Linked DNA regions of Drosophila melanogaster. The protein of the gene in region 1 purifies or fractionates together with the protein of each later gene. This does not show direct contact. Each region holds a gene or a part of one and is shown on either strand. Other genes may lie near its edges. The genes, in order: Xport-A and Hsp27.

Region 1 (3,809 bases):
AGAGGCATTTGTCTTTGTATTTTATTGTTTGTGAAGTTAATTTTACGAAATTGGCTAAAGAGTGGGTGCGCGTAGTGTATGTTAGAATGTGGATCTCTTATGAAATTGGTAATACCTAGCTCTTAATCACATACTGACCTCCTTAAATCAAATGATACTTAAGATATCTTCAGCTTTGTGGTATCTTCAAAACTCTACACTTTGTGCCACAAAACGAATACCTGAACACAAGCGATTTGTAGACAGCACTTATTATAAACCAAATGGCATAACTTCCAAGTCAAATACCTAACTACTTTATATCTCCATATAACTATTTTTCACGAGATGCTTCAGATGCAAACTAGCAATGACCAGATCTGGATTGAATAGAGCTTACTTACAGACCAAATCGATATATATTCCATGATATTTATAGAGATTAGTATGTTTATAAAGTTTTGTGAATAGGTTAGTAAGTGAGCTAATGCTGGAGACACACGAATATATTCTGCAAACATTTAAATAAAAAAGCTGAAAACCACAAGTTGGATAAATATTTCTATTGTTGTTCATAATGGTGGGATACAATGTAGAATTCGAATGTAGAGAGCAAGACAATTAAGTATGCAATACGGTTAGTAAGATATTTTATTCTACGAAACTCATATAAAACACACTAAGTATAATTGATACCATATATAATTAATTATAGGATGGGCTATCTTATGTTGCTCGTAACTAGGCAAACATCGAATGGTGGTAGAGTGCCGGTAATCTCCAAGAATCGTCGAAGGATGTGGCAATAGGTGTTTCCCATGGGCGGAGATTCAGTTCCTTCCGCCGGAATTCTAGCCACCTCGTCCGGAGTGTCCAGCTCCCTAACATAATCCATAAAGTTGTCCACATTGATGGGTGTCTCTGCCCTCGTCTTTGCTGGTTCCGTCTGCAACTTTCGCTGGAACTCACTTCTGTAGTAGTCGTTGATCATGGACATCATCCCCTTGGAATACCAGTAGATGATGCCAATCAAGAATAGGCCCTGCATGAATGGACCGACCATATTGTATGCTTCCACTTGATTTACTTATTTGTTCGATAGATCCTTTGGTTTCTACTGCTGATGCTCCTCGCGGAAGCTTTCAAGCCATTGATTAACCATGTAGAATTGCTCCTTGATGTGCGGCCAGGCCATGGTGACAATTAGCATTATGGTATTGGCGAAGACAAAGAGTTTCATCATTTCAAATGCTATTGGAAAGGGGTAATATTTATTAGTTAAATGAACTATATATTTTTAAGGAGCGAAAATTACAGACCCTCCGGAGTGCGAAGATAGTCGCCGAAGCCGGAATTTAGATCCTTGTCATCCTTCTCGTCCACCTTCTGCTCATGCTTATGCTTATCCTTCTCGTCTCGGCTCTTGCCCTTACCACCACCCTCGACTTTATCCTTGCCAGAGTGTCCTTTACCGTGCTTGTTCCTGCCGTATCCCGTGGATGAATTGGCAAAGGCCGATTTCTTCGGCTTCATTGCATCCAGATAGCAGCAGTTGGTCGGTCAGCCTGCACAGCACTGCATTTGATTGGAGTTGGTCCTGGAAGTGCTCTCCGCCTGGTGCTTCCTCGCCAACTGCTGCTCCGCAAATGACACAAACTTTGTGGTGCCAATTGGCGTGGCGCCGCTTCTGGCAATTTTATGGTTTCCATTTTATTGATTTGCGATTTCTGCTTGTCGCTCTGGCTGGGTGGGAATGGTGGGACAGGTGACCAAATAGAAATATGTTGTTAGTGGAGCAATGCGCTTGGATATTTAGCCGGGCATGTGTACTTATTATACCAGTCACACGAAATGTGTGTCAACTTGGTGGATGAAGGTGGTCGCCGGTAGGGTTGGTGTTTGTGGGTTTACATTGGTCCCAAATGGCTCTGGTTCCTGAAAGCTTATTTAAATATCATGCAAACCAGTTTTAATTTATTTAATGCCTTATTCTGCCAAATAGTTTATAATAGTTTTGCATTGATCTAATGTAAGCTTTACATTTTAAACAAACTACGTGTAGATGCCGAACTTTTGATTTATTCCCAAAAGTATGCAACCCAATATACATATTCGATTCGCGATAAGCGAATGTTTAATGAGCTAAATTCGAATACTGTTCGCGAATACTTGACACACACTACAACTAACTTATCAAATACGCCCAGACATATATTAAGTATACGTTATTACGTGAACGCAATAAGTTGCTGTCCCTTGTTTACCACAGCTCCGACCGGTGGCTGCTCCTTGTCCCGCGTGACCAGGCAACATGTGCCAAGGCCGCCCAGGATGACCAGCAGACAGAAGGCGGACAGGGAGAGGGCGGGGCTCACCTGCCTGAGCAGCGTGAGAAAAGAGGCGGAGAGCTGCCACACCCGCGCCCACGTGACGGCGGAGAAGGAGAGGCAACTACGCTGCTCCATTGGCACCAGTTCGCCCAGGCAGGCCAAAATCATGGACTGGGCGCAGGCTACGGCCGCCTGGGGAAGTGATGCCATTAGCAAGCCCAGCGTCAGTCCATACACCTCGGGCATATCCTCCTCGGCCAGGAACCAACAGATGCTACCGATGCAACCGACCACGATGGCAAATCCCCCCGCCCACTGCCACTTGCGTTCACTCAGGTTGAAGGTCAGGTGTAGGGCCAGGAAGCAGCCAAGCATCTCGGCCAGGCCCATGGCCAGTGTGTTGGACACCAGGTGCTCCCTGCCAAAGGACCGCACATGGAGCAGCAGCCCAGTGTTGACCACCATGAAGGTGGCAAGTGCCATGTGCACGGCCACCAAGTGGAAAGTACTCCTACGCTGGCCCATCCACAAGTGCATCCAATGCACGGCGGGCATTGGCTCCAGCATCCTTTCTCTCAGCTCCTCCAACTGCTGGGGTAACTCCTTGGACACTTTGTGCATTCTACCATTGGTACGGGCTGCTTCCAGCAGGATACCCACCGTTCGCTCGATGGCCAGTTGAGCTTCCTTGGTGTGTTGCAGCTGCCAGCGCGGTGAGTCCGGAGTCCAGGGTAGCAGAAAGACAATCACCAGCAAGGAAAGAGTTACGCCCAAGTATATGTGCTGCCAGCTGGGAGCATTGGAGGCCAAGCCAGGGAGCAGAATCAAGCCCAGAGCCCAGAAGCAGTCGTAAAGTATGAGGGTTCCTACGCGATATTTTCCCGCTGTTATGTCACCAACTGAAAAGTAGGTTATTTAATATTAAAGTATTCTTAAATATTCAATTTTACTTACATATATACTGCCCCGAGGTGATCATAAAACAGCACGAAACAGCAGCCAGGCATCGGAGTCCACAGTGCAGACTGAAGTCTTTGACAAGACCCATCAGTAGGCTGCACATGAGCAGGCACCAGATGCCAGTTCTATAAATCTGTCGGGGACTCAGGACCCGCATCAACTTGGTGGCCGCCACGCCACCGATTAGGAGGCCAAAGAGGTGCCAGTACTGAGACCAGGCCACAAAGAAGTCGCACAGACACACCAAATCGAACTCCATGGTCAGGGAGTGGAAACCCGTGGTGTAGAGGAACTTTCGACACTGGCGCATGGCGTAGGCGGACTCTCCGTAGTTAACCATCACATAGCAGTGGTCCAGCGAGACGGTGGAGTTGACATCCGGCCCGAAAGCCGTCGTATCACACTTGTACTCCTCCTCGGGGTACAGATCCGGCGCTGTGAACAGGATGCAGGCCATGAACCAGGCGGCTGGAATCTTGCAGAGAAATAGGATGAGCAGGGAGCGCAGTTGCCAGGGCCCAAAGTTCCCCATGATGTGTG
Region 2 (3,926 bases), on another chromosome or scaffold:
TTACGAGCATAAAACAACCAATATGAAATCAGAACGGGCAACTAAATTTTTTATTATGTATTAAATATTTAAATAAATATGTGCAAACAATTGATTAAATTATTTAAATGTCGTTCTTATCTTGGATTTTCTTTCAGTGTGCGCGGAACTGGAAATATTTGCATGACGTTTGTCAAAATGTAATTGAAAAACAAAAATCATTTCCCATTTTTTTTTATATCGATTTCTGAATTGTGCAAAATCATTACAAATCATCATAACAATCGTCGACAAAGGTTAAGCAATTGGCTGACCATTTAATTTTCCACAAGTCCAATTCAAGGACAAGGAAAACAGAATATGTACATAAGACCCCTTGAAAGTTAACGACACCCAACAAAAGCCGGTTTACCCTAAATGCAAATACATTTGCAGATTCGAAGCTAAAAAGGAAAAAAAACCAACAAAAACTCGACAGCTGACTTCTTTTCGTGTATTTGTATTTATTGTATTCGTTTATTCACAAATGAAATGCAAAATTCTCCCGAGTGTTGCGCCTGTTCTTGTTACAAAAAGTATAAACTCAAAGGGAGCAATGAATCCTCCAGTTGTTTAGCCTAATAATACACACTAAAATTTTGTTTTTTTTATGCATTATGATAAATGGAGTTTAAAATCACTTAGTCTAGGATGTTATGATGATGATGTAATGATGTGATGTGTGTGAATGTAATACATTGGGTGTGTTGTGGTGTGTCCTTTTTAGTCTTGCTCTCTCCGAGCAGCGCGGCAACACTCCCGTTTCTTCTTTTAAATTCTTCTTTCTCTCGTGCTTCGCCAGCGAATCTCGTCGTCTTCTTCCTCCTTCACGACTTCTTCCTCTTCTAGTCTTCTTCCTCTTCTCGTCTTCTTCATCTCCTAGTCTTCCTCTTTTCGTCTTTTACTTGCTAGTCTCCATTTTCTCGCCGCTGCCATTTTCGGCTTTTCCATCGCCAGCCTCGGGTGCCGGTGCCTTGACGCTCAAATGGGCAGGCCCCGTTTGCTGGATCTGGACAATGCGCTCCGACTTGGCCTGTTCCTTGCTGGGCGGCGGCGGGGCCTTGAGGGTCAGCACACCGTCGGATGAGACAGTGGACACTACCTCGTTGGGGTCAAAGCCCTTGGGCAGGGTATACTTGCGCACAAAGTGACGCTGGATCATTCCATGGCCGTCCTCGCGCTCCTCGTGCTTCCCCTCTACCACCACGGTGTTGTCCACCACCTTGACGGTCAGCTCGTTGGGCTTGAACTGCGACACATCCATGCACACCTGGAAGCCATCTTTGCCCACGGCGGGCAGCAGAGCGTTTGGACCCCCCGACGCGCGACGTGACATTTGATTGTGGTGGCCATGGCTCCTCTCGTACGGCGAATAACGACGACGACCCAGTCCCAGGGTGTTGGGCAGTAGCAGGCGACGCGGATGGAACAGATCGTGGGCATGGACGCCAAAACCGAAGTCATCCTCCAGCAAATGCCCCCAGTCGGTGCGGTAGTCATGATCCAACTCCCGGGCCAAGTGCAGCAGTGGTATAATTGACATTTTTGATTTTTTTTCTCTTTATTCACAACCCTGTCTAGACAAAGGAATTTTTTTTGCTTTTTCGAATTTTTTTAGCGAAGTTTGCTTCAACGTTTGCCTTCAATTTTTCAGTTTAGACTGTGCTCGGGCGACGTTGACGCCGGCTTTTATACTGACGCTGGGCTCACACACACTAGTGCATGGCAACCAGGGACGGAACTTTAATAAAATGATGGGGGGTTGCCATCTTCGTTAGATTTTGCCTGCAGAGAAGGTTTTCCCTATGATCCCCTAATGCAAATATAATAATATTTAGATATAGGCAAGCAATTATTAGCCTGTCAAACTTAAAATTTAAGCGACATTTAAAAGCCCCTTTGAATACGCCCCGTAATTCAACAAACAGTTTTCTCTCGCATCTTCTGGCTCTTTCTAGCACAGCCGGCTTTTCATAGAGAGAGGGAGAAAGAACCAGAAACTTCTTGACATTTCTTTTCTGGGGAGTTTCTCTTTGCGAATAAAAAGCAAAACGAACAGTTAAAATGCAGTACATACATATGTATGTACATGTACGTATATATGCAGATATATGTATTTATTTAAAGCATTTTCTTCTCTTATCGCTCTTTTAAAAGCTGTCTTTTCAGAGTGCAACAGAGCTTGTATTTTCATTGGACAAGTGCATTGAACCCTTGTCTCGCTTCGTTCTGCTCCTCATGTTTGCCGTTCTTTTGTTTGTTGCAAACATTTTTGCAGTTGCTTTCGCCACTGCTTCGCGAAGTGGGAAACGGGGCAATTGAAAATTTTGCAAATCATTGCCAGTCTGTTGCAAGTGTTTCGATTATTATATGTACATATGCATACATTTCTATATATATGTATATGTGTATATAGAATCTTTTTATTCTTGGTTCACCAGTTAACCAAAATACATAATTATTTTCAAAACTACATGCATACATACATATGTATGTGTATGTGTGCATGCACGTAATTATTTGCGGTAACATACAAAAATGAAGTTCAATTTATACATGTACATAGGTACGTGCTATAAGGACGTACATAACGTACATCTCTTGTAGAGATGACAGAAATTCATTAAAAAGAAGAGAGTGAAAAGGGATGTATATTCTTATGTACGTATGTATGTACATGATGTACTTATGCATGCTTTACATAAGGATTTAACCTTGACTGAAGTTCCTTACATTCATAGCTTCAAGTCTCTTTACCGAAGTAATGTAAAAAGTCAGTTATGTACACAAACAACAATTAAATAAAAATGCCATTTTACGTGACACAACAATGCAATATACAATGCAGAAAGTAAATTCTAGAAACCGGGATCACAGGAAAAAGGGCCAAGCTAGCCAAACAATTCCCAAAGTAATAGTAATAGTAACCCATAACCAACCAGAAAAACAGACCAAACACAATTATAAGTAAGTGTACTTGTTATTTATTTTTATGGGTAATATTAATTTCGCCAATTTAGTAATACATATTCCAAACTAAGATTAAAGCAGGACACCCTTAATGGCTATTGTGTATGAGTGAAGTGTCCTTGGATAACTACAGCTTATAAAACAGATGTATGACTTTGATAATGGTTAAATAATGCAGGGCATCTCTCGGAACGAGTCCTCTACTTATCGTTGCCATTGTCCTGCTCCACCGCCTCCTTGGGATTCTCCTTCACATTGAGATGGGCGGGTCCCACCTGCTGGATCTGAACGATGCGCTCGTTGCCCTTATCCTCGATTGCCGGTGGCTTGGGCACCTTGATGGTCAGGACACCATCGGAGGACAAGGTGGAGGCCACCTTATCAGCCTCATAACCGGGTGGCAGAGCATAGCGGCGGACAAAGTGACGAGTGATGAAGCCATGGTCATCTTCGCGCTCCTCATGGTTGCCCTCCACCAGGACGGAGTTGTCCTGCACTTTGACCACCAGTTCGCTGGGCTTGAAGTGCGACACATCCATGCAGACCTGGAAGCCATCCTTTCCGATTTTCGACACGGCTCCCGACGATCCCGACGAGGCGCCCACCTGTTTCTCCAGCTGGCGCAGCTGCTGCTCCATCGGTCCAACCAGGGCCAAGTAGGGATTCCTCTGGCGCTGGCAGTAGTAGGGCTCATAGAAGGGCACCATCGACATTCGGCCCAAATCGTCGGCAAGGCTCAACAACAATGGAATATTTGCCATTTTTGTTTTTTAATTGCTTCAAGATGATTCTCCTTCAAAGAATAAACTTCTTTTGTTGATAGGTTACTTTCGCTTTAGCTGTTATCGCTTTGGCTTTTTGAATTCAACTGACGCCGGTTGCACGAAAGTGCCGGTTATTTATACAACCGCTCGCTATCGTAGTGTGCGTGCGCCCGT

What was found.
Region 2: the proteins of Xport-A (region 1) and Hsp27 purify together in Drosophila melanogaster (affinity purification with western blotting, with the first as the bait; one study listed by BioGRID). This does not show direct contact.

The regions. Positions count from the first base shown.
Region 1 is NT_033777.3:19,913,783-19,917,591, forward strand, and holds Xport-A (exit protein of rhodopsin and TRP A), read right to left. Parts: upstream 1,631-3,809; 5' UTR 1,513-1,630; coding exon 1,299-1,512; exon of another isoform or gene 1,295-1,298; intron 1,231-1,294; coding exon 1,094-1,230; 3' UTR 1,043-1,093; coding exon of another isoform or gene 701-1,042; 3' UTR 614-700; downstream 1-613. Other genes in the region: Xport-B (exit protein of rhodopsin and TRP B), read right to left, coding at 701-1,042; CG4465 (uncharacterized protein), read right to left, coding at 2,208-3,208, 3,264-3,809.
Region 2 is NT_037436.4:9,381,821-9,385,746, reverse strand, and holds Hsp27 (heat shock protein 27), read right to left. Parts: upstream 1,685-3,926; 5' UTR 1,562-1,684; coding exon 920-1,561; 3' UTR 53-919; downstream 1-52. Other genes in the region: Hsp23 (heat shock protein 23), read right to left, coding at 3,189-3,749.